Linked DNA regions of Schizosaccharomyces pombe. The gene in region 2 interacts genetically with the main gene of each other region. Each region holds a gene or a part of one and is shown on either strand. Other genes may lie near its edges.

The links.
Region 1: mutations in arg3 (region 2) and pfd1 together harm fitness more than expected from each alone (negative genetic interaction), as found in Schizosaccharomyces pombe (one large-scale study listed by BioGRID).

What each region holds. Positions count from the first base shown.
Region 1 is NC_003423.3:1,753,256-1,760,468, reverse strand, and holds pfd1 (prefoldin subunit 1), read left to right. Parts: upstream 1-3,210; 5' UTR 3,211-3,372; coding exon 3,373-3,381; exon of another isoform or gene 3,382-3,478; coding exon 3,479-3,645; exon of another isoform or gene 3,646-3,796; coding exon 3,797-3,959; 3' UTR 3,960-4,203; intron 4,204-4,246; exon of another isoform or gene 4,247-4,347; intron 4,348-4,426; 3' UTR 4,427-4,568; downstream 4,569-7,213. Other genes in the region: actin cortical patch component End3, read left to right, coding at 90-237, 308-384, 609-1,511; protein Fis1, read right to left, coding at 2,067-2,167, 2,281-2,662; DNA-binding transcription repressor, glucose sensing, Scr1, read right to left, coding at 5,183-6,880.
Region 2 is NC_003424.3:2,269,315-2,277,133, reverse strand, and holds arg3 (ornithine carbamoyltransferase Arg3), read right to left. Parts: upstream 3,214-7,819; 5' UTR 3,123-3,213; coding exon 2,139-3,122; 3' UTR 1,618-2,138; downstream 1-1,617. Other genes in the region: cmb1 (cytosine-mismatch-binding protein 1), read left to right, coding at 957-1,556; arg11 (N-acetyl-gamma-glutamyl-phosphate reductase/acetylglutamate kinase), read left to right, coding at 4,458-7,115; DNA-directed RNA polymerase III complex subunit Rpc2, read left to right, coding at 7,612-7,819. UniProt on the Schizosaccharomyces pombe protein: Ornithine carbamoyltransferase involved in the synthesis of arginine from glutamate via ornithine and the urea cycle.

The DNA of each region.
Region 1 (7,213 bases), on a different chromosome or scaffold from region 2:
TACTGAGTTCTTTTACTTTTCCACTGGCCGTACACGATTCAGGAGAATTAGATATTTTAGGGTATTAAAATTTACTAGAACTCGACATAATGGATCCCCAAGAGAAAAATAAGTATTGGGAAATTTTTCGCGGCTTGAATCCAGAAAATGGCTATTTATCAGGATCCAAAGCTGCTGGAGTCCTCCGTAGTAGTAAGCTTTCAAGCGATAAATTGGAAAAAATTTGGGATTTAGCAGGTACGGAAAACATGAGTTTGCGGTCTGAGTCGTTTAATCGAACGTGTGCTAATGTTACGAATATGGATAGATATTGATGATGATGGAATGTTTGATTTTGATGAATTTGCAATTGCTATGAAAATCACCTTTGATTTGATTAATGGGGTATGAAACCACTTACTTTACTCATGAATGAACCTGTGAAGCATGGATTAAATAAATGTAAAAAGATGGAATAAGATATGAATGATTTAAGAAGACGGCGCTTGCGTAAAGCCTTCATTTTTTCTTTTATCCCTTCCACTTGTTTGATTGTTTTTATTGTGAAAGGCTACCTTTGGTTTTTAGGGTTTCTTTTTTTGTCTATTTTCATCATTTCTAACCATTAGGTTTACAAAACCGTTCCAGATAGAGTACCCGAGGCGTTGGTGTCTACTTCCAAAAAGCATTTAGTAGCAGCTCGAGATGCTCTTCGTGGAAATGATGATATTGCTCTCTTACACAAAGTACCTTCGCTTGATACCGACCCGGAAGATGCCGTTTTAAAAGATGGATTTGATTGGTACATTTCTCCATCCGATAAAATTCGATATTCCGATATTTACTCCCTACATTGCAATAAACACGGAGAAGTATCTTTTAATGGCCTGGCACCTGTATTTACTCCTTTTGGGGTTCCCAACTCTCAAATTCAGAAGGCTTGGAAACTTGTCAATCCTCAGGGTACTGAAACCATACAGAAAGATCAGTGTTTAGTATTTTTGCACATCCTTACTCAGAGATCCAACGGATTCCGTATTCCTAATGATGTCCCGTACAGTTTAAAGGCTAGTTTTAAGAGAGGAAATATCGATTATAATTTAGATTCCTACAACTCTACTAATAACTATTACTCTTCACCTACAATGGCTCCATCTACGGGTGGTGCGAAGCCGAAGAGTGATCTTGATGCCCCGAGGGATGTGAGAGACTCTGACTGGGAGCTGATTTCATTAAGAAATGAGCTGTCCAAATTGGACGAAAAGATTCTTTCCCTTCAACGTGAAACTGACGATGTTAACATTGCACAAAATAAGTCAAAGCTTATTCAACGTGATTTACAGAAAGTACTTGACTATAAGTTGGGTATCCTTCAATCTCTAAAAAATGATGGACCAAATGGCCCCAGCGCTTCCGCCATTGATAATGACTTAAAAATGCTGGAACAACAACTTAATGTTTTGGGACGTCACTTGGAAGGTCGGAAGTCTCAAGTGGCTAAGCTAGAGGAAAGGCTTCGTAGTCTGTCTTAACAAAATCTCGTTTATAAAGCTCATCATCTCAAATACTTGAGTCTTTGGATGTTTTCTTGGAAAATCGACGAAGGTACACTCTTTCTTTCTTTCTTTATTGGGCTTAATAAACTGTTCAAACAGGAAGAGGGAATTGGATTGTAAAATCATTCATTAATGTCCATCATTATATTTTTTGGTTTAATCGATACAAAACTTTTGAATTAGTATAAAAGGAGGAACTTATTCAGCTTTTATAATAAATACTCACTCTCTTTTTATAACAATCTAAAACCTCCTTGAGGTAAATTTATTACCCTGCTGTTAAGAAGAAACACAAGCGAATTCAGAACTATCAACTGGGTAAGAAGAAAAGATAATATAATAAAAACAACAAGCTTCGATTTATAATCTTCTTTTTCTAAAAAAAGTGCACACTATAATGTCTCCCAAAGCCTTCGTAACTCATACGCGTTTCATGAAAAGGATACATCCACAATCCTATTGTTCGTAAGGAGAAAAAATTGAAGAATTTATGCAAAAGAAAGCTCCCTTGTGATTAATATCGTTTACGGTTTAAGGACGACGCTTTGAAAACAACCGTTTTGATGCCCAACCTACAAGAGCTGCAACTGACACCACTGCACCAGCTACCACAACCATTCCAATGTATCCTTCTAAAAACGGGTTAGTAATGATTCTTTTCATTATTTATAACGCATCTTTCTAACATAAACACAACATTCATGCATATGTGATACCTCATTAAGTTTTATTAAAATAAACATACCTTTTGTAACAGCATCGTAAAGACGGTTTTTTAGCTTTAAAGCCTCTGGGCTATTTGGATCTTTGGATAACAACATATTGAGATAACGACGGGATTCTTCATACTGCTTCAATTTGTAATGGGACAAAGCAATGTAGTAGAGGCATTCCAAACGCCTTTCCGGTGAATCTTTGTAAATGCTGCAGAACAAAGATAATCCCTGTTGTACATGCTGTGTAGAATCTGAGCGTACCAATGCCCAAGCAAGGTTAAATTTGGTTTGTAAAGTAATCAGAGGTTGTTCTGCATCGTATTGTTCCTTGATTTGTAGAAACTCATCAACAGAAATAATTGAATCAATAGCAGAAGGATCAGCGAGGCGAAGGGTGTGTTTTTCAGTCATGATGTCGTTATTGCTTCCTATATTGGTCTTTGAATGTGCCTTAATTATTTTAAAGGCGGATTAATATAAATAAACGGAAAATGTTGAAAAAACTACAGTCACTTGAAAAAAAATTCAACAACTCAAATATAAAAGAAGAAAAAAAGGGTTGAGTATGATGCAAAAATGCTAAATTATCAATGTAAACAGCCAATTCCAATTATAAAGGATTTGAGGCGCAAATGAGTGAACTACAAGGATAATGGATTTCCAAAGCAATAGAAAAGTCCAGAAATCCGATTTAGTAAGAATATGGATATGCTTTTTCCACAAAAATTTGAAACAGAGAAGGAATGAAATGAAGATTCGTTTGTGAACGCCATCGCCAACAATTTATGTAAGGAAGAACTTAAGGATATGGCAAAACATTTCACAAAATATTTATTACAAATTGTGGCGTATTATGTAATTCACATTTGCGAAACGTACCGATAATAAAAGCAGTGTAAAGTAGCTTGTAACATGCCAGCTTTGTACTTAAGGCCTAACCAACATTTTGCCTAAGACTTGATATACTTGTAAAGGTGGTATATTCAAATATATTGAAAAAGTTCTTGATTTGTCTATAAAAAAAGTATTAAAAGGACTATTCTTTGTACCATAATTTTGGAAAGAGCAATTCAATCCAAAAAAAATAAGTTCTTGAGATATACCCAAGTTTCCTTTAAATAATGCAAAATGTACGTATTTCATCATTGAGAAGAGAATTATTTTGTTAGGAATTTCCCTCTTTTTAACTGTGTTACATGGTAAACTAATGAGCTTTGGGCATATTAGTTAGCTAGTCAAATACAAGAGAAAGCGGTTGATTCACAGCAACAACTGAGGACCATAATGGTACAGATTGCTGCCAAGGAACGGGCACTAAAAATAAGTGAATTAGCCAAAAAAGAGTTAGAGGATGTTGGAGAAGATAAGGCCGTATATACTTCTCTTGGAAAGATGTAAGTGTCATAAAATGAAACATGTATTTTTATTTTCTTTTCTATAAAAATAGGGAAAGAATACGGAATTAGCAAAAACAGCACTTTTGGAATGGAATTGACCGTACTGTCAATCTATATGTAAAGTCATTTACTAACTGTTTATTTACAGGTTTATGAAATCCGATTTGGCTTCCGTACGTACACATTTGGACGCAGAAATGGCAAGTTTAAGAGAAGATATTGAAGCACTACAAAAGAAACAAACATATCACGAAACAACGGCCTCAAATGCTGAGCAGCATTTACAAAAGATAAAAGAGTCGATTTCTTAAAACATCAATTATAATCATCTCATTGGTAAATTGGATTATGGGATTGGAAAGTTTATGACTTTCTTTTTTATCTTTAAAACTGTAGAATTAAAGTAAATTTGTTCCATTAATCTTCTTGCATTTCTAACAAATACTGGGGCATTTGTGAGCCGAAATTTTGATCACTGTGACTGCGCTTTTGTGTATGGATACTTAAATTTCAAGCTTGAAGACTTGTGAATTTAGTATATGTTATACTTTTAAGGTAAGTTTTCTACTGTTAGAATTGACGTTTGGAAAAGTAAATGGAGAAAGGATTTCTTTGATGATTCCAAAAAAGCATAGTTCAACTGAGCATCGTATGCTGAAACTTTTTCCATCTGATTTGCACGTCAGTCTGAGATTTCTCGTTCCCTTTTGTTTCTTTCTTTTTCAACGTCTGTTTGTCTGACTTTTGTGTTGGCTGTTTTACTGACCCATACTTTAAGGTGTTCTATATTTTTTCAAGGATATCATTAACTGTGTGGAAGCTGTTTTGTTCTCCATTAACTTCTGATTTCTTTTTGAGAGATGCACAAGGAATAGTTTATAGCTTACTTATAGTTTATGAATAAAATTATCCGAAACGAACTGTCACTAATCATTGTTTAACAAAGTATGTAGTAATGTATTAATATTAACTATGGCGACAATATTAGGACTTGAAGGTCTCTCATATCAGATGTTTGTTTCTGAATTAAAATAATAATTCTATATACGAATTGTGAAGTTGCCGTTAAATTATGATGGTAATTTGCTGTAGTTCTAGTTAAAGTCATTAATGTAGATCCTGCAGTTCAACTTTTTGATAAGATCTGCAGACAACTTTATATACAATAAATTTAGCTAAATAAAAGCAAAAAGGATTAAACACCATCGGTAAAAAAAAATAACTTTATTAGTTTATGGTCTATTGTACCCATACACTGATCAAGAAGTAATTTAAACATATAACATAAATTTTCACCTATGAAAGCAGTCTAATAAACACAAAATAACATTACTAATTATATGCCAAGAAGTTTAAAAAAAATTTAAAACAAAAAAAAAAAGAAAAACTGAACAATGGAACCTCAAATGTCGAGACTCATGATACTAATAAAAAATTTAATACTTAATTTATAAAATAGCATAACACACAACCAAGGTGTTTAGATGGTTTAAAGGAAGCAAAGGTAACTAGCGTTCACAGCGCAAATATTGGGTTAGGGCTTGGTCATAGGAGTTAACGGCCCTATTGAAAATGCCGGTGTGGTGGTGGAATAGGAAGACGACGCCGACTTTGTGGATGAAGAAGGAGATGGCGGTGATCCGGCCAAAAGGTTGCTGACACTCACACGCGAAGAAGAGGAGAACTTGCGTGATCGTCGATTCGATGATATACGGACTGGACCAACATTCGACTGGGATGCAGGTTTGTGAGGCATGCTGCTATTAACGTTGGAGAGCGAGCTCAGAGAGACGGACGATGGAGTACGAGAGACAGCACCAGAGGCTGGTGTAGACGCGGAAAAGGCGTTAGGATCACACTTCAAAGGAGGAATTAACGGAACTTGAGAAGGTCGTAGAGAAAGCGAGCGGATAGAAGGTAATTGAACGCAAGATGGATCATCCATGGGTCTCAAACGAGGAGAATGTGCCGGTGTAACGAGAGGTGTGACGTCTGGGGTGGGACTAAAGCTCCTAGTGGAAAAGGTAGGACTACTCGGTGCAGTGCTGCAGGGGGAAACCGGGCGAGAGCGACGCTGGTATCGGAAATGGGCAAAATCACTTGACGAAGAATCATCATCAAAGCCATTGGATACGCTGGGTCGAGAATAAGGCAAATAGTTGTAATGGGCATAACGTAAAGACTGAGGAGCGTAAGCCGTAGTACCAACGCCATACATTGAATGAAGGCTAGTACTACTGTTAGATTTGCTAGGCAGATAGGGAGTCTGCATAGACGAATTACTATATAAAGAGTTGCTCGAGCCATTAGTATACTTTGTAAATGAACCAGTGGATGAGTTAGAAGTTAAGCCTCTATTGGGAACCGATGCGAGATGATTAGGAGAAGTATTGGATGATGATGGCAGACTACCTACTACATTCATCTGCTTCGGTGGGGAAGGAGCATTAGATAAAGGCATTAAATTAACACCCGAAGACTTTGTAGGAGTGATTCTAGGGGCAGCATCCAATTGATTAGCAGCCGCTGAAGCCAACAATTGCATCTCGTTCATGGACGACAATCTGGAATCGGGTTCCGAGCGTTGAGAAACAGCACCCGGAGGGGTACCCGTAACATGGATTGTAGTACCATTTTGAGTGGTATGAAGGGCATCGGGAATACCGTAGATAGTGGCAGGTTGAGCTTGAGCGGGTAGGTTGTGAGGCTGTCCATTACTAACGAAAGTAGCTTGTTGTTGTTGCACTGAAGCCGAGTAATGGTGAGGATAACTCATGGAAACGGCGGCAGTGGCGACGGGAGGTGCAACCGACATGCCAACTTGAGGAATGAACACGGGGTAGGAAGGATTCACATTAGGATTCATTGAAGCATTGGTCATATGCACACCAGCATTGTTTGTAGATGGTTCTAAATTGCCAGCAGGAGAATTGGAGCTTCTAGCAGAATTATTAGCGGCAGCGGCAGCAGCAGCGTTCCTTCTAGAGTTTGCATTTGTATGGATGCGTGCATGTCTCGTCAATTCATCGCTACGAGAGAATCGTTTGGCACACCCAGGAAAAGTACAAACATGAGGCTTTTCACCCGTATGCGTTCGAATATGACGGGTTTGATGCTCTAAACGATAGAAGGCCTTGGTGCATAGTGGGCATTTGTAAGGACGAGGAGCGTCAGGATTCTTGGTAGAGCGGGATGGCTTACCGGTTGTTGTGGCAGTGGTGGCTTCGGACATGACGAAGTAATAAACAGAGCACGGCAAAGAAGGAGAAGTAAAAAAAGAGAAGAAAAAAATAGCACGAGTAAGGGTAGTATTTAATAAAAAATAGCTTATTTCACCCAAGAAAGAGAAAGAAACGACCGTTTAAAGAAAAAAATGAATAATAATAATAATAATAATAGTAATAGTGAAGATAATAAAAAAAAATCGCTGGAAGAGAAAAAAAAGAAGATTAGAGGAATTCTAGTTAATAACGAGAAGAAATTTCAACGATGAGAGAGGATTGGAAAAAATAAAATTCAAAGTTATATAGTTGAATGCTTCAAAGGAGCCCAAACGAAAGTTCCA
Region 2 (7,819 bases):
AATCGAACGAGATGTTTTAAACAAGCTTTGTCAAAATGGCGCTAAAAGGCTCCTTTCTCGGACAAAGCGATGCAAATTTACTGGAAAACAGCCAACTTTTCAAAGGTACTATAGTTTGTGGTAAGCGGCAAGAAATACCGAAAAAATGCAGACACTTACGACTTGGTTAAACACAGCCAAGAAAAGTTAATACACACTAGATGTTATTAAAAACAAACAAATACCCGGGGGCTTCTCGTCCCTTTAATACAAATTTTGTAGCTGTAGAAAGGAACTTTAAATTAGGCCGACAGCCTTAAAACTAAGTTGGATTGACGTTTAGAAATCGGGGTATAGAGGGGCTCTAGAACTAATGAGATTGAAGCAACGTATACCCCATCTCTTCAGTAACCCAAGATGCCAATATGACAAAAGAAGAACCGGGGCATGTTATTTCGGTTTATTAAATTAAAATAACGTGCTGAAAGAATACACTGTAATGAATAGTGAATAGCAACGATTCCACTGAAACATTTTTATACTAAATACACAGCTACAATATAGTCTATGGTGAGTAATGAATATGAGAGTGCTGGGAGGTACGGTATATAAGGAAGGTTGGAAAAAGTATAGAAATGAGTGCTGTTTTGTTGCTCAAGAGATGAAGATGCGTTTGTTTCCTTTTCATTTTGGAGTACCTTTTTGATTCTGTGGACCAACGCTTTGTTATGTTGAATGTCGAAGTGTTTCACTTAGAAAAAGAAACTACCTTTGTGGTTACAAGAAACAAACAAACTGCTTTTAACGCCTTTATTCTATGCTATTAAAAATTGAGTAAACCGTCTTTTTACTACTCATTTGTCTGTTGTACAATATTACGTACCCGATATTTACTCAGTACTTGAATGCGTCTGTTTGACGCAATGCCTCCTTACCTAACTTACCAAGCACCATTATCTTTGATCATTTTTCACAAAATGGTATTTGCAATTAGAATACGCCAGTTTCACACTACTCTCGTTTCTGCCGAAAAGAATGGATTACAGAAGTTGATCCCCCCTAGGCTGAAAACCATTTGGAATCAAATGTTGGTTGAAACAAAAGGTGCTGGTAATGGTCCTGAGCGCTTTGAGATGATTCGTCAAAAATACAAAGCTTTGACTGCCGATGAGATCCAAAAGTATAAAAACAAACTCCAGGAGCAGTTCGATGCTGAGAAAAAGCGTTTTATGGAGACTCTACGATCCTTTACACCTACAGAAATCGATAGTGAAAATCGTCGTCGCTCGAAGGAGGCTCACAGCACGGGCAGTCGCTATTACAGACTTCGTCATCCAGATGTTCCTAAAAAACCTTCTTCTGCTTTTATCCTCTTTTACAAGGAGCTTCGAAACAATCCCAAGCTACGTCAAGAGTTAGGTATTCCAGAAGCCATTTCCACACTCGTTGAAGAGACCCAAAATGCATCAAAGGCGTGGAAGGAATTGGCGGAAGACAAGAAAAAGCCATTTATTGATAAAAGCAAAGCACTTAAAGAGCAATACGATAAGTTTATGAAAGAAGCCGGATTTCGATGATGCACACTCTACTTGCCCAGATCTTTTTTTTCTATAGATTTCTTGAATCAATGAGTTTACGTTTTATTTTACTAGCATACATGCTTGAAATATAATAAATTTCGATGCCTACACTAAGTTTTCTTTCTGTCGTAGATTCCGCATTGACGAAAGCTTTATTGTCCCAAAGCTTTTTCCTTATGAGTGTTGCGCTTATTTGTAGTTTCTATTAATTTTAAATTGTATTTTGCATATAATAGTGCTTAATACTATGATTGCTTGATACCTTGAAATATCTAGTTAAGAGGATAGCATTAAGCGGGTAATAATTTTACACAAAGCTTGTTGGACTAATGAGCCAAATTGATCCATCCCCTTTTTTAACGTATAAGTACGTCTTTAGAAGCCTGTGTCCTGCGCATAAAAAATCTGAAAAGTAATTGTCAATTAAAAAATTTTCTCAAAAGTCAATTTTCTTTTTGTGAAACAAAGTACATAAAATTTCAAAAATGAATATCACAATTTGCACGCCCAATAAAAAAAATTATAAAGTTGGCATTGTTTGCACATTCCCCAGATAAAAATGAAATTAAGGATTTCAGTTTAGGCTGAGGCAGGAGGAAGAATTTCACCACGGTTGACAAGCAAAGCCTCCAAGACAGCAACAGTGGTCCATTTGCGGTTCTCTGCTTCTTGGAAAACTAAACTGTTCTCTCCATAAAATACCTCGTCAGACACTTCCTCGGGATGACGGGGTAAACAATGCATGAATTTGCAGCTAGGTTTGGCAAGCTTCATGATCTCTCCGGTGACTTGGAATCCTGTAAATTGTTTAAGACGTTGTTCCTTCTCAGCTTCTTGACCCATAGAAATCCAAGTGTCGGTAACGACGATATCAGCATTTTTAACAGCAACCTTGGGGTCGTTAACAATTTCAAAAGTAGAACCGTTTTCGTTCGCAGCTTCGTTAACGATTGATAAAATATCGTCGCGAACGTTGACGTCCTTGGGCTTAGCAACGCTAGTATGAATACCAACCTTGGCATTTGCAATCATCAAATCATGTAAAACGTTATTGGCATCACCTACCCATGCAACTTTTAAACCGTCAAAGCTTTTGAAAGTTTCCTTAATAGTGAGTAAATCTGCTAACGCCTGGAGAGGATGAAACGTGTCACAAAGACCATTAATAACAGGACAAGAGGCATGTTTAGCGAGCGTAGCAACATCTGAATATTTGTTTACGCGAGCAACAATACCAGAAACCATACTTGATATAACTTTTGAAGTATCGTATAAAGACTCATTCACTCCTAATTGGATATCATCTTTACCTAAAAACATGGCATTGCCGCCAAGGCAACTGACAGCACTTTCGACTGATACACGAGTACGAGTGCTACGCTTACTGAAGATCATGGCGACATTCTGAGACGACAAACCACTCATTTGAACAGAACGGCGATTCTGAAAATTCTGCTTATAAGCTTGTTTAATTTCAGAAGACCGATCGATCAACTTTACAATCTCTCCGCGACTAAGATCACGAATGGATAGTAAATGACGAGGAAATTTTTTGAAAGACATTTTCAATTGCAAACTGAATAATTCTTCTCGACTAAATATATCAAAAATACGGTTTTTGTAGTCGACTACAAGGAACCCACAAGTTACTGGTAATTTCTTAGATATTCAGGGTGAGATTGCATATAGCCGATATCTAGTTCTCTCTCAGACTGCGAGATTGGCGCCGTAATATATCGTATGCGGATTTTCGACGAGATGGAAAATTTTTACATTATCGTACACTAGAGTTCAGTTGCAAACAAGCTAGTACGTTGATGAAATATGATAAAACAAGTCAAAAATTAAAAACTACTCATAAACATTCTATTTCCTTTCTTTTTCTTATGTTATTCATGGTAATATTGATACAGAACGTCAGAATACTTATCAGCAATAGCTTTTAAATACCAAAATCGTTAATTGATTAGCAGTAAAAGAATATTCATGGGTTTAGCATTTAATTATAGAACTAATGAAAAGGGATGAATTTTTTTCGACCTTGTAATATTTTTTTTATTTACCACCCATTCTTTAAAGAACCAATACATTGTAAATAAAATGTATCTAAAAAACGTGTAGTTATTTTTTTTGTTTATTCAATTATCTCTTGACACTATATTCAAGCGAGCTGAAATAAAACCAATTGTGTTACTATATTGATAACTCAGCATGCTTGTGAAATCAACAACTACCATGAAATGAACAATGAGTTCACAGATTCGCTATATTACAAGCTTACACTTACAGTATTGCATAAAGCGAAACAAGTTTTAACGAAAGAGAAGGGCTTCTTGCCAAATTTTTTTTTTTTTTTTTTTTTTTTTTTTTTTTAACGAGATTATCTTAGATAATAAATTTTATGATAAGTGCTTTTGTCTCATCAGGGTCATTGGGACTATTCAACGCGAAATCAAATAGAAAACAAAATATTGTTTCAAAAGAATGCTTTCATGTATAAATCAAGATATTGAACTGGCTTGCATAGAAATAATGAATATTGTACTGTGTCAGTTAGGACTAGTATTAAATAATGTATATACAAATAGATTCATTGTCGGCAAATGAGTTGCTTTTACAGTGTCATTTATATAGCTTTAATTCATTAAATGTCCATGTCTCACGTTTGCAGCACTTTCATGTAAACTGTTGGTTTCCGATGTAATTTTCAGCCAACAAGTAACATTATCGATCTCATCTTTTTGAGTGATTATCTCCAGAGCAAATCCCTAGATACAGCAATCAAATTTTAACGAATTATAGCTACGTTTACGAAGCAAATGATTTTCCAATTTTGAAACCAACCAAACTGCCTTCTACCAACTACAGTAAATCATAGAATATCACTAGAATTTGGCAATGCTTATTGAATTGCAACAAATTGTCAAGTCCGGTCTTGTACGGAATGGAGCGAAACACTGTACGAAAAGGAGCTTACTATGTTCCAATGCATCAGTCATTGCAAGCAAACGTTTTCAAGGCAGTTTTGCCCCGGGTCAACAACAACCGTTAAACCCACTCGCGAAACCAATTGAACAAGATCGTGATGCCATCATTAGAATTCTTTCCTCCATCGGAAGCCGTCGTGAAGTTGAGCAATACCTACGATACTTTACTTCCTTCGAAGCTCAACGTTTCGCTATTATCAAGGTTGGTGGTGCCATTATCACCGACGAATTAGACACATTGGCACAAAGTCTTGCCTTTTTGAATCATGTGGGTCTTTATCCCATCGTTGTGCATGGCGCTGGTCCCCAATTAAACAAAATTCTTGCCAGCAGAAATGTTGAACCCGAGTATAGCGATGGTATTCGAATCACCGATGCCGAGACTCTTTCTGTAGCTCGTAAAGTTTTCTTAGAGGAAAATGCGAAACTTGTAGATGCTTTGGAAAAGTTGGGAACTCGTGCTCGTCCCATTACAGGTGGTGTATTTCAGGCAGAGTATCTCGACAAAGAAAAATACAAGTATGTTGGCAAGATTGTCAAGGTAAACAAAGCTCCTATTGAACACAGTATTCGTGCTGGAACCCTCCCTATTCTTACGTCTATGGCCGAAACTGCTTCTGGTCAATTGTTGAATGTCAACGCCGACATTACTGCTGGTGAGCTTGCTCGCGTATTGAAGCCTCTAAAGGTGGTCTATCTCAATGAAAAAGGTGGACTTATCAACGGTGAAACAAAGAAAAAAATTAGCAGCATCTATTTGGATAGGGAGTACGATGGCCTCATGAAGCAACCATGGGTCAAGTATGGTACGAAGCTCAAAATCAAAGAAATCAAAGAGTTACTTGATACTCTTCCCCGTACATCTTCCGTAGCCATTATTAGTACGAAGGATTTGCAAAAAGAGCTTTTTACGGAATCTGGCGCTGGTACTTTGATTAGTCGCGGTTTTGTCATCAACAAACATGACTCGTTGGATAGCATTCCAGACGCTGCTCTAGAAAATTTGATCATTCAAAAAAATTCTTTAGCCGCACCTAGTGAAAGCTTGAAACAGTTCAAGGATACTCTGAAAGACAGAAAACTTCGTATTTATAGTGACTCTTTCAATGAATCTGTTGCTATTGTCGACACCACCGACTCATCCTTGCCAGTACTCTTAGCTTTTGGTGCCGCCGACAATAATTGGTTAAACAATGTTGTTGATAGCATATTAACAACATTAAAAGCAGACTTCCCTTCTTTGCTATGGCGTCTTCAACCTTCAGCCAAGAATCTGGAATGGTTCTTCTCTAAAAGCGAAGGTACTTTGTTTGCTAATAATTTTTACTACTTTTGGTACGGTGTAAAAGATTTGAATAAAATCTCCAAGTTCATTCAGTCTGACAAGCCATTTGCCGATGCTATCATTCAGACCCAATCCACTAAACCCCCTACTGCTTCATCTACCACCAACAACCCTTCCTCTTCACAGATCAATCAAAAACGAAGTTACTCAACTAGTTCTTTATTTTCAAAAAACAAAAAAATGAATCGTTCTTTGTTTTTAAAGGGTGGAAAACGATTTTTTTCTGCTGAGGCTCAGAAGACCCAAAAACCTTTGAAGGCGGTCTCATCGAAGCCAGCAAAAGTCGTTCTCCTTGGAGCCCGTGGTTATACCGGAAAGAACTTGATTGGATTGATTAACACTCATCCTTATCTCGAATTATCTCATGTTTCTTCTCGTGAGTTGGAAGGCACCAAACTTCCTGGCTACACTAAGAAAGAAATTCAGTATGTCAACTTGTCCACAGATGATGTTAAAAAATTAGAGGAAGAGGGAGCGGTTGATGCTTGGGTCATGGCCCTACCCAACGGTGTATGCAAACCTTATGTCGATGCTTTAACGTCTGCAAATGGTAAAAGTGTCATTGTTGATTTAAGTGCGGACTACCGTTTTGAGCCCTCGTGGCAGTACGGTCTTCCTGAACTAAATGACCGTGAAGCTTTGCGTAACTCGAAACGTATTTCCAATCCTGGTTGTTACGCTACTGGATCGCAAGTCGGTTTAACTCCCATACTCTCTTTGATTGACGGCCAGCCCTCTATTTTTGGTGTATCTGGTTATTCTGGGGCTGGCACTAAGCCCTCTCCGAAGAATGACTTGAATGTATTGACAAACAATTTGATACCTTACTCATTAACTGATCACATCCATGAACGTGAAATTTCTTATCGTTTAAAGCAACCTGTCGCCTTTATTCCTCACGTTGCTCAATGGTTCCAAGGAATTACTTTAACTATTAATGTTCCGTTAAAGAAAAGTATAACTTCCCGTGAGCTTCGTAACTTATACCAAGACCGTTATAATGGTGAGCCTTTAATTCATGTTCAAGGAGATGTACCTTTGGTCAAGGACAACGCACACAAGCATCATGTTTCAGTTGGTGGTTTTGGTGTGCACTCTTCTGGAAAGCGTGCAGTCATTGTAGTTACTATCGACAATTTACTTAAAGGTGCTGCTACTCAAGCTCTCCAGAATCTCAATCTGTCCTGTGGTTACGATGAATATGCCGGTATCCATTTGGATTGATTATATTTTTTGTAGCCCATTCTTTTGTTATTTTTATTCTTTCTGTGTACCATTTGGATATTTTTTTGTTACAAATATTTTGAACTAAATGCATTAATCCTTGCTATTAAATAGCCAGCAGTAAGTCGCGTACGAGTACCATCTTAAGTTTCCACACATTTTAATTTAGTTCTTGTTCAGTTATACAAAATTCCTCTGTCTGTGCGTCGCAGACTCTTCAAAACTTATATAAACAGATTTGAAGTTGCTTTCTATGGTATAGATTTTCATCAACGAAATAATTTTTGTACGTAGAATAAAGTGGTAAATAGTTAAGCTTCAATAATCTTAATTGCGTATAAGTTTTATTTCTTTATTTAAAATTATATATGTTACTTAAAAAATAAGCCCAAAGTAATAAGAAATCTCTATCCTTGCATTACTAACGCTTCCTCCATAAGTATATTTTTGGGGAGGAATTTTGCTACCGTCCGCCATTATCAACTAAGTGAGTTCGATGGGGGTAAATACTGCCGGAGACCCTCAAAAAAGCCAACCCAAAATAAATAAAGGTGGAATTGGGAAGGATGAGAGTTTTGGAGCCCTCTTTAAACCTGTTTATAAGGGCAAAAAGCTTGCAGACCCTGTTCCCACCATTGAAGACAAATGGCAGCTTTTACCTGCATTTTTAAAGGTAAAAGGACTTGTTAAACAGCATTTAGACT